3 linked regions of the Pelodiscus sinensis genome follow. The protein of the gene in region 1 interacts with the protein of each later gene in a biochemical or structural test. Links are inferred from orthologs where the notes say so. Each region holds a gene or a part of one and is shown on either strand. Other genes may lie near its edges. The genes, in order: RXRA, POU2F1 and TRIM24.

Region 1 (3,746 bases):
GGCTGAAATGTGTGTTGCAAATTTCCACAGAAGCAAACCAGGCCCTGCTCCCATCGTTTATAAATGAGTTTTAAATCAGCTTTTTTTTTTCTTCATTTGCACCCAGGAAAAAATCCTTTATCAGCCTGGATATGCACATTTCGTCTCCCCAAGATCAAATGTCTGTTAATGCTACATTTGGTTAAATGTATATAGTGCCCAGCCATCAAAATACCTCAGGTACTGTCGAACCCCCAAGTATAAGATTTAGGAAGTCAGGGGAGGTTTTGCCTTTGTCTTCAGTGCCTACGTTGTTCCCAGTGTAAAGCGTGAATAAAGTACAAAGCTGCAAATAAAATTAAGGCATTTGGTGGGGAAGGCAGAGATACAGCGACGCAGCAGTCGGCAGAACATGATTTTTAACGGCTTCCGATGTTTTTGTTTGAGCCACCCGAAATAACGGCAATAAAAAATAAATCCGTTAGACTGAAAAAAAAAAAGATGTTGTGAGTGTCAAGCGGCAGAGGAGAGATTTCCACTTGGAAAAACCACTTGAGCACTTTGGGGGCCTTTTCATCTCCCATCAAAATCAATTGCATGTGGCAATAAAACCACAATGGTTTTTAGGACCGTCTCATGTCCAAGGGACCCAGGACTGAGCACAGGCACCGCTGCTGAAGTCACAGAAACTCTTTGGTGTCCATTTGGGAAGGTGCATTTTTTTTGTTGCTGTTGTTTATTCGGCCATTAAAAAAATGGACTCTGCATGAATGAAAACCACCACTCTTTTAAAAGGGGTTTAGTGCACTGATATGAAGGAACCAAGCAAAACCAAGGGACGTCAGAGTTCAGGCTAGCACTAGCAGGCTGCTCTTCCTGTCCTGCCACGGGCTACAAGTCTGTAACTCATGTCGCATGTCTGGCCAGCCTTAGCCCCCCACCAATATACCGGGGTAAAAAGGGGAGATGGAATTTAGCGACTGATCTTGCCTGGGATCTCAGTGACAGCAGGATTGGGCCCTTTATCTGAGCTGCGAATTTTCCTGCCCCTTGTTGCTCACAGTTATTCTCCCAGATTTGTTGGATTTTAAACGCTGGCCTGTAGGGTAAGCGCAAAACAACGGCACTTTTTGGAAATCAAGAGACAAGGAAGCTTTTCCCCTTTCAAGCCAAGACTTGATTCCCTTACTGAAAGGTTGGCAAAGTCACGCTGGGAGGGGGGGGGGGAATTGAAAACACAATAAAACAAACCCAAAGAGCCAACACAGAACCTGTCTGGGGTGACACCTCTTTCTGGAAAAAGAAGAAAGATGCCCCTGAAATACATCTTTTGGATCAACACTTGGCGGTCAATGTATTACAGGCAGGCACCTTTAACCCCAGCAATTACATTTATCTCTGCCAGACTGCACACGGCAAATGCCTACAGAGGAAGGCAAGGGCTGGAGAAGGGGGGGAGAGGAGAAGGAAACAAACAAACAAGTACATAAATACAAAGCAAAGGGGTTTTGCCACATGTCAGCCACTGCTCCAGGAATAAAACAGAGCATTCAGAGCAATGCAAGGCACAGCCAAAGCCGGTTGTGCAAAACAAACCAAGACCTGTCCGGAGTGGGCGCACCCTTCAAAATCTCACTTAACACCCCGTTTCCATTCCAGAATTGCTTTTGTCTAGGTCAGTGGACCAGGGACGGGGGTTCTGTGCCTGACGATCGGGGCCACTCGAAGAGCAAACTTTTAATTCTTTTTTGAGTGCCTGGCTGCGAGTCCCACGTTTGAAAATAGCGCTCGCCGCCGTGCCAAGTCCCTTAGCGGATCTCGCTCGCTCTTGCGCGCGCGCGCATTTTGCGCCCCCCAACCCCCGCCCCGCGCAAAAAAAATGTCTCCAGCGTGTCCGAGCTCCCTTCTTTTCCTCCCCGCGACCCCCCCCCCCCCCCCACGCCGCGGCCCATCCCGGGCCCTCTCCCCAACCCTCCGGCCACGAAGCAGCGCGCACGTATTTCCAGCCCAAAGCTCGCAGCACTTTCAAAAAAATCAACCCCCCCCCCTTCCCTCCTTCCTCAACAGTAGTTTGATCTGTGGTCTCCATCTGCAAAACACAATGACGCTCGCTCGACACGTTGCAGGGGAAGGGAGAAAACAAACAAAAAAAAATAATAATCCAGACGCGCATCTACCAAAATTGGGACTCGCCAAGAGGGAACAGGCCAAATCCACAAGGGATCGGCGCTGTCTAGGGCAGGCGGCGAAACTGACAAACAAGTCCCCGCGCTGCAGCGTCCCCCCCCAGCAATGCCTCCCAGTCCATGCACGAAACAAGCTTTCTCCAGCCAGCCTGACTTCCTGCAATGGTTCGTGGAAAAGGGGGCATAGGGGGTGTCCCGGATCAAACCATCCGCGTTGCAATAAAGCCACTTTTTCATGCCCCCCCCCTCCACACCCCCGCCCTGCTCCACTTCTCCCGGCCGATCGTCTGTCCTTTGCACGCTTGCCCTCTGCCCCCGCCCTCCCCCAGCAAGCCATAGCATTTCAATCCGAATATCTAGCGCCGTCTGCGCGGAGAACCCTTTGCAACAAAACTCACCCAGTGGCAGGAAATGTTTGGTGTCCATATCGGGTGTTTAACTCATGCCCAAACGATTTGTTGAAGATCGGTGGAGGCAAAACACACGCGCGCGCAGAAATCAAAGCAAACGAGAGAAGGGAGGGGGGTGTAAAAAAAAAAGAGGGGGGAGGGAAAAAAAATCAAAGCCCGCAGCTTTGCATTGATTTAAAAATAAGCAGCAGCAGAAGGCACGCAGCACCGGAGCGGGTGGAATAGGAAATCCAGTCACAGTGTGTGTAAGCCCGAGGCAGGGGGAGTTGTTTCAAACTCACCCAACAATGTAACTAAAGTACTTGTGTCTCTGTGTCTCTCTATTCCAACTACAGGAGCTGCAATGCAAAGGGGACCCAGCCAAGGGGGAGCGGGAGGGCCAACCTGGTCGCAGCGACGGCACGGCCAGCTGGGAGCCTGCACCAACTAGTTTTCTCGAGGGCGGCCGGGAGGGGGAGGCGGGTGGCTTTGAAGAGGGGGCTGCTTTCAGAAGCTGGCTTAGGATCCGAACGAGCATAGGGAAATTGCATGCAAATCACGCTGCAGGGCGCCATGGGACGATACAGGTTAAGAGCACATGCAGGGGAAAAGGCCCATCTCAGAGCTTCACAGGTAAAGGTAATTGAGGATGCAGGTGGGAGTGGTACCCCGTCAGGGCTCTTGCTGAAGTGATGCCATTCAGTACTTTGGGGGGGCTTTCATGGGTGGTAGAAGGACTGGTCCAAGTCGTAAAACTTTTGTAAGTGGGGGACTTACAGGGAAGGCGGCTGAGCAGAGCCAGGAAAAAGAAAGGAATTACTTCTGAGAGTAGAAGAGGGAAGATGGGGCCCGTTAGGCTGAGATTTTCCAAAGCTGCCTCAGGAATTAATGTCCTGGGAGGCTGGAATGTTCCTATTCCTGGCTGCGAAAGTCTCTCTGCCTTAGAGGGAAAATTGGTGGGTGGATAAATAGGCTAGATCTGCTGGCCTGCCTATCACGTGTTGGAATGATCCATCAATTTACCACAGACACATGTTACAAAACCCCCGTCTAGGTAACTGACACGAGTCACCAAATGCAAATTTAAGGAGGCACGAAGGAACTTGTGTCGCTCTGGAAAGAGCCGCGAGTAGGGTTGCCAGATGGTTTCAACAAAAATACCGGACACACTTGATATGACATCACAATCTAC
Region 2 (3,746 bases), on another chromosome or scaffold:
CAGATTGTGCTTTAAAAAAAAAATGCTTCTTCGGTGTAACCATTCTATTTCAAGATGTTTTCATTTAGGATTATCTATTTTACTTCCTGTGATTACCTATTTATACTAACTCCCAGTAGCTTGCTGGCAGGAAATAGTTAATAAAAACCATCTCAGAACGTGCTGCAAGCATTTCTTCTTTCAATGTGCCTAGTGTTCATGGTGTTTTTAACCACCTGGGCCCTTATCTGGAGGCAAGCTCGGCATGAGTACAAGGGTCTCCTTTGATTGTCAGTGTTATAGATATACTGCAAAAAAAAAAAAAAGTAACAAAACAGAGTGAGAAAACCAGAGGCAGGTGCCCACTCCATGGGCTCAGCAAGCTCATGCCTTAGGTGACAGGGACCAGCATGCCTATTTGATCTGAGGAAGTGGGTCTGGCCCACGAAAGCTCATCATCTAATAAACCATCTTGTTAGTCTTTAAAGTGCTACATTGTCCTGCATTTTGCTTCCCTAGCCCTTGTGTCTCGGGACATGCTCGTGAGGCGATTGCCGCCCCTCAGGCCCGCTGGAGCTGGGAGCTGGCATGGTCGGTTTTAATGCCCTCGCCCCACCCGGCAAACAGACGCCTCCGTCCTCTCACAGCAGCGCGCCACCAGCGTGTCCGTGGCACAATGCACCTCCGCTGGAACGAGCCCCCCCGGCCAAGCACACAAGCAACTAAAGCCCCCAGACAACCATCCCCCGCACTGCGCAAGCGCGCGCTCTGTAGCCGGGAGGGAGGTGGGCCACAAAGTGGCCCGCGCGTCGAGGTCGTTTACATGCTAACGAAGACTAGGGCAGAGGTAAATGGCAGGAGAAAACGGCGCATGCGCACAGGGGCTGGCTGGGGGTACACGCAGAGTAATGGGCCAGCAAGAAAAAAGCGGATAGCGCAAGCGCGAAGCGCTCGCCCGCGAGAGAGGGCAGAGCGCGCATGCGTCGTGACTCGCGTGCTGGAGTGAGGGCGGGGGGCCAAGGAGAAGGGAGACGGCGGCTGCGCGAGTGGGACGGGTGGGGGCTGCGAGCGAGCGAGCGAGGGAGGGTTTATCGGGCGGCCGATTTTGGTTAAAATATTCAAAATGGCGGACGGAGGAGCAGCGAGTCAAGATGAGAGTTCGGCGGCGGCGGTGGCGGCGGCAGGTAATCATTACTGCGTTTTACATATTCATATTCATACTCGCGCGCGCGGCCCCCCCGCCGCCCGCCCGCCCCGCTTAGCATAATTTATTAGTACTCCGGATTATTATAATTAACGGCACAGGGGGGAGCGGGGGCAGCGGCAGCCTCCCCGTGCGGGAGACACACGCACGGGCGCGGGGGGCAAGGGGGCGCCTCCCCGCCCCCGAACCCGGCCGGAGGCCGCCGGGCCGCCCTGGCAGCGCCCGCACGCCCACAATAAAGCCGCTTTCCATATTCATGGCGGAGCGGGCCCAGATCGGGCAGGGAGCTGGGGGGCAGGGCCCGGAGCTGGGGGGCGAGCACCCCGCGACCCCCCGCCCCAGTGGGGCCGGGCCCCCCATGCTCTTGCGCCGGGGCGCGGGTGTGGGGCGCGGGGTTTGGAGGCGAGATATTGGCTCTTTTTTGGTCCCCCCCACCCCAGCCTTGGTAGCGTTATTTCCCCACAGCCCGAGGCCTGCCTGCCACGGGGGGCTGGGTGCAGAGGGCCCGGGGGGGCGGCTTGGCGAAAGTCTTCTCCTCTGTCCCTACAGAAAAGGTGCCTCAACTCCGCTCGACTCCTTGCGGGGGAGGGGGGTCTGCCTGGGGGCGAGGGGCTGCGTGGGGTCTCTGTACCCAGGGGGCTGGGCTGCCCTGACATCTCCCCCTCCCTTCTCGCTTCCTTAGGAGTCAGCGAGGCCGAGTAGAGCAGTGGGGGGTATCCTGGGATAGGTCCCTGGGGGAGGCTAACAGCCAGGCCCTGCGGGGCTTCTGATGGGTGCATGGGGTGGCAGCATTGGCGGCTGGGGTAGCAAGTTGGCTGCCAGGGGTGCGGAGCCGGCCTCCTTCTCCTTCTCTGTGTCTTGGTCTCATTTGAATAATGTCTAATTCGGGGAGGTTTATATTATTGAAATGGCCGCCTGGGTTTCCCCGCCTCTCATGTTTAGTAATTCAGACCTTTAATAACAGCCACTCAGAGCCCAAAGCCGTGTTTATATTTTACATTCGCCCCATGTGCTTTTGTGGTTCAATATGATTCTTCTTTCTTGCTCTCTCGCTTTTTTTAAATTTTCTTGGCAACCCACAGGGCCCAGAGATCAAACCCAGGCCGTGTGGGGAGGGGGTGAGAGGAGGAAGAGGTAGGCCCTGGCTCCTCTGGCAGACGCCTAGGCCTCATTCTCTGCCGCTTGATTTATTTACTAATAACCAAAATGACCCCCCCACCCCACCCCCGCCAGCAAAAACAAAACCCTCCTGGGGCTTGAGCAGCATCAGAACTGCTTCTAGCTTCACACACTCATGTCTTTTAAATAAGGGGCTTATTTTTAATTTATAGCAACACAAGTATTTAAAGCTGTCCCTTTCATAACTGTTTTTCAGTGAGTATTGAGCATTTTCATTCCTTTGTCCCCAGTTTACTTAAAAAAAGATTTGCTTTTAATGTACATTTATTGGGTCTCTGAGAACACTTTCAAAAGCTAAAAAGCCTCCCTCCTACTCCCATATACAAACTAGATTTAATATGTAGAAGCAAACCTTGAATTTTGGATCATATCACATTAAATACAATAAACCTCTTTCTCCTTAGTGTTTATGACCTGCATTTTGTATAGCAGTCCTGTGTGTTTGATACTTTTGTCAGTATCCCTGGCCTTCTGAGTTATTTTTAATTTGACAGTATGAGAAAAAACAAAACAATATAAGTTTTCTGTGTTTGTATGCCATACATAGTTGACTGAATGAAAATTGAAAAATATTTTTCTCCTTAAATTGTCAGGGCTACCTATGTTTTAGCCAGCCTCCAGGCAACTTAATGACAAGCAAAATGGACTCCTTTTTCAAGGGAGATAATGGAGTCATTTTATTTTCATGTGGTATTAATGTTGATAAAACTGTGGTTTTTCGTTAGTGGCCATTGTTTTCAGCTGTGGAGGAAAAGAATTGAACAGAAGGGTATCTTATAGTAGCCCTATCAGATGAGTATGCAAACATCTTTGAAGCATGATTAAGAAGAGTTCATGTAATAGTGCAATCAGCATATTTTATAGAGTTTGCTCGAAGGTTAATTTGTTAGAGAATACTGGTCTTCAGTTAATAGAAAAACATTTTTAATTTTAAAATGACCACTCTCACTGCTTACTTTCTCCCCCTCTGCCTTGGTAAAGACAGGTCTTGAATACTGCAAGAAAAGATCTGTAGAACCTATAATGAAACTGTTCAGGTGACTGACTGCTTCATAGACCAGCAGCATGGGGTTGGCTGGACAAAAAGCAATAATATGATTTCATGCCTTAAATAGCATATGTTTTTGCACTCGCTTCACAAGATGTGGTCAAGCTGATGATGTCACCGGCCAGAGGACAAGGTGCAGTTAATTTGATTTATTGACCTGGGATGAGGTGTGCCAGTGAAATCTTCTTATAGAGAAACCATTTATCTGAGGACAGTTTCCTTTATAGAAGCAATTTAACCACTGCTGAGACTGTAGATATTTTATCCAAGATGGTAAAAATGTACATTCGCATCTTGCAAACAAAAATTTGATTCTAACTGACAATTTAGTAATTC
Region 3 (3,746 bases), on another chromosome or scaffold:
TTAGTCTTACATCATTAAAAGCTTTTTACACTAATGCTCTTCTTATGCCCATTCACCTGATTAATTGATGTGGAGGCAGTATCTTTTGTGGATGGAGAGGGAGTAGGGAGGAGAGAGATAATTAGGTTAGCAGCTTACTGTATTACAGTAGTTTTTTTCCTTCCACTTTGAGTTAATTGATTTATAATTAACTTCAAGTAGTTGGCACATCTGTAAAGGCTAGTCTGGAAACACCCCAAATGCTTGTTCCAGAGTATAAAATGTTTGTGGTTTGGCCTAGATTGAGCCGTAGGGTAAAAGTCATAAAGACATGAGCCATAAGACTTTTTAATTGGCATGACAAGGTCTACAAAATGCAAAGTATTGAAAGAGAGAGAATCCCTGTGGCTAGATGTTGGAGTTAGGTGGGAATCTCCTAAACTTTTGGGGGTTTGATCCCCTGTATCTATTCGGGAACAGTTCTCTGTTTGGCAGGTTCCTATACAGCACAATGCTGAAGCAAGGTGTCCACATGGCTGGATAACCTTGATGTTGAGGGCTTTGTCTTATATAGTCACCTATTATGCACCATCCTGTCCTGATTTTTCACACTTGCTCTTTGGTCACCCAAATACCCCAAACCCTGCATCTTACTTATTCTAGCCAAAGTCTAGGGAATGGGAGAGACAGAAAGTGTCCCTAGGAAAGGTGGAGGAAACAGCTGGTTGAAAACAGGAGGGGATTGGGTTACCACCTTGTCCATAATTGACCAGTATGTCTGGTTTATGTATGGATTTGTCAACTGCCAGAAAAATAATCTGCTGTTTTTTAAGGTGCATCTAAAGATGTACAATATTATCACAACACAGTGGGACATCTAATGTTAAAAAATTCTGTCCAGTTAAACATGCTGCAGTGATCCCACTTCCACAGTTTAAGCAATAACACATCAAAACAACGGAATCTTCCTGCATAAGAAGTGCATCCTGCCTGTGAGAGAGAATCTGAGTCTGGGGAGAGCGAGGAGAGGGGCGATGTTATTATTCTTATCTAGATGTGCTCTCTCTAGATACTATAAGTGACAGTTGAAGGGGCACAGTTGTCTTATGGTTGGGTTGGTCTTGTCTCGTGGGGAGGCGAGGGATGCCACGTTTTTTAGCTTTTCAGAGGTAGCAAGCCTAGAAGGAGCAAGGAGGAAGTAAGGGGCAGGATACCCCCCCCCCCCAACACACTCTTCCCTCCTCTCCCACCCAGCCAAGTATATTGACCGGAGAGGGAGGTCACTTCGGGAAGGAGTGAGGTCATGGGGAAGCCAGGCCAGGATTCAGTCACAGACCAGCCAGCAGGTCTCCAAGGGGCGGGACACCCACCAGAAGGGTGAGGGGCGGGGCTTTGGGAGGAGAGGGGGCGGGGCTTGGGACGCTTGCGGGGCTGGAAGGCGGGTGTCCGTACGCAGCTGGAGCGGTACTGGGACTGATGGGGGTGGAGTTGTACAGGGGTGGGCGGAGTCTCTTGTGTGCGGCGGGGCGGGGGGAAGGGGATGAGCCAGTGGGAGGAGCGGGGCGGAACCGACGTACAATAAGGGGGCGGGGCTACGGGGGGGAGCCCCTCTCTCGCAGGAGGGGGCGGGGCCCGGGTAGCCGTTGGCCGTGTCGCGCGGGTGCAGTCTCCCAGGATTAACAAACACGGCGGCTGGCGGAGGGGGGCAGGGTCCGATCGTTGGCGACGCGGCCCGGGGGCGGTTGGGCGCGCGCGCGCGAAGCCGGGGCTGCCGGGTGCGGAGCGGCCGGTGGAGGAGTCGTATTCCCCCCCCCCCCACCTCCTCCCGGCGGAAGGCGCCAGGCGGCGCAAGGACAATGGAGGCGACGGTGTCGGTGGCGGCGGGGGCCTGGCCGGCGGATCGGGCGGGGGCCGCGGCGCTGAGCGGGGAGAACGAGGCCGAGAGCCGGCAGGGCCCGGCGGAGCGCGGCGGGGAGGCGGCCCAGCTCAACCTGTTGGACACCTGCGGCGTGTGCGGGCAGCACATCCAGAGCCGGCGGCCCAAGCTGCTGCCCTGCCTGCACTCCTTCTGCCAGCGCTGCCTGCCGCAGCCCGACCGCTACCTCATGCTGCCCCCCGCCGCGCCCTCCCCCTGCCCCACCACCCCCAAGGAGCTGCAGCCGCCGGCGTCGCCCTCCTCGCCCGTCCCCTCGCCGACCTCACCCCTGCACTGCACACCGGGTAAGTCCCCCCTCCCTCAGCGCACGTCCCGGGCTGGCTCAGGGCGCTGCTGTGTCGCGACAGCACGGGAGAGCGTCGGGACTGAGACCCGAGAGCTCTGGCGCTGACAGGGACCGCGGCGGCCCCCTTTGGAGATGGGAAGGTGCTGGCCGGGCCCCCCCACCATTGGCGGTCCAGGGGGAGGCCCCTGGGTCTTTGGCCGCTCCCGCCGCGGCTGTGGTGTTGCTGTCGTGTGGGGATGAATTGGTCACCGTGAGCTCCTGGGTCGTGTCGCGATGCGGCGGGTAGGTGAGAGGGGAGTAATCCTGAAAGGGAGCCCGGCCCCTCTGTTGTGTGTGCTGGGCAGCCAACTTCCAGGAGCAAATGCGGGCGGGGGGAAACGGCCACTCTTCTGTCGGGGACATCACAATGGCAACTTCCTGCTGTTTGTACGGCCTGGTTGTTAGACACGAGAGGAGGGAAACACCTCTGGTATCCTCTACAATCACCTTCCGTCCTCCTCACGCTGCTGGGCTGTTCTCTGCATGGTGCTCTCTGGTACTTGGCTTTATCGATTTAGCTCTAGTTCTTGGAAAGAGCAACTGCTGTTCCTTCTGGAGCCACACACACATAATCTGTAACAAGTGGCACGTACTAAACAGAAGGCAAGAAAGCTGACCGGTGCCGTGAAATGTACTTAACGTGGATGTGTAAGTGGTATTGCTGCTTCTCACTGTTCACTTTTGCACGCTGAAGAGATTTGACTTGCTCTGTACTGCAAAGGGAGCTGAGATGAGCTTCTGGTAGGGAGAAGAGAGAAGTATGGCATCGTAAATGATCTGTCGTTTGGTGGTGAGAGAAGTTGTTTCTGTGTTCCGTGGTTAAACTATTTTAATCATTTTGAGGGTAAGCTTTTAAGCAGCCCTTCATGGGATTTTTACACCTTTTATACGTGTGAACTAGTTTGTACCATATCTAGCACACTGAGGCCTTAACTTTTATATGCTCAAGTAATACAAATAAGTGATAACATTTATAAGCTAAACATTTTCCATATGAATCTTCATAGTTAAATTATTATTTTAAACTGATGTACTGACCTAATCTCAGTTGAATAGCATGCCAAGATTAAGTTGTCTACAGCAAAATGTGCTTTTCATTGTAAAGATCTACCTGATCTCTGGTATATCTCTAGGAAATTGCTACATAGTAGCAGAAATCTAGTTCTTTATCCGTAATTTATCCAAAAAATGAGTAAGGCGGATTTAAAATGTCCTTTTTTAGGCAAAGAAATGTAGCCCTGTTAGTCTGGTGTAAGTGAAACAAAAAACAAACCCAAGTTTGGCCCACAGAAAGCTCATCACCTAATAAACCATCTTGTTAGTCTTTAAAGTGCTACATAGTCCTCTTTTTTTAGGCACAAATTCATCCTGAAGAAAAGCTCAAACAAGTATCTTGGGATGGAAATAAGAGAGAGTAACAAAATTAGCTGCTCTGTAACACTGCTCTACAGCCAAAATGCTTCTGAAATAAATGTAGTCAAACTTTACTAATTCTGGGTCACTGAG

What was found.
Region 2: the proteins of RXRA (region 1) and POU2F1 form a complex in vitro, tested with the Homo sapiens proteins (2 studies listed by BioGRID). The link is inferred for Pelodiscus sinensis from reciprocal best matches to the Homo sapiens genes RXRA and POU2F1.
Region 3: the proteins of RXRA (region 1) and TRIM24 form a complex in vitro, tested with the Homo sapiens proteins (3 studies listed by BioGRID). The link is inferred for Pelodiscus sinensis from reciprocal best matches to the Homo sapiens genes RXRA and TRIM24.

Annotation. Positions count from the first base shown.
Region 1 is NC_134732.1:18,242,090-18,245,835, reverse strand, and holds the start of RXRA (retinoic acid receptor RXR-alpha), read right to left. Parts: upstream 2,918-3,746; 5' UTR 2,592-2,917; coding exon 2,564-2,591; intron 1,862-2,563; exon of another isoform or gene 1-1,861. UniProt on the Homo sapiens protein: Receptor for retinoic acid that acts as a transcription factor.
Region 2 is NC_134711.1:161,876,741-161,880,486, reverse strand, and holds the start of POU2F1 (POU domain, class 2, transcription factor 1), read left to right. Parts: upstream 1-1,045; 5' UTR 1,046-1,102; coding exon 1,103-1,163; intron 1,164-3,746. UniProt on the Homo sapiens protein: Transcription factor that binds to the octamer motif (5'-ATTTGCAT-3') and activates the promoters of the genes for some small nuclear RNAs (snRNA) and of genes such as those for histone H2B and immunoglobulins.
Region 3 is NC_134711.1:101,186,558-101,190,303, reverse strand, and holds the start of TRIM24 (transcription intermediary factor 1-alpha), read left to right. Parts: upstream 1-1,590; 5' UTR 1,591-1,835; coding exon 1,836-2,199; intron 2,200-2,708; exon of another isoform or gene 2,709-2,723; coding exon of another isoform or gene 2,724-2,736; intron 2,737-2,854; exon of another isoform or gene 2,855-2,869; coding exon of another isoform or gene 2,870-2,888; intron 2,889-3,746. UniProt on the Homo sapiens protein: Transcriptional coactivator that interacts with numerous nuclear receptors and coactivators and modulates the transcription of target genes.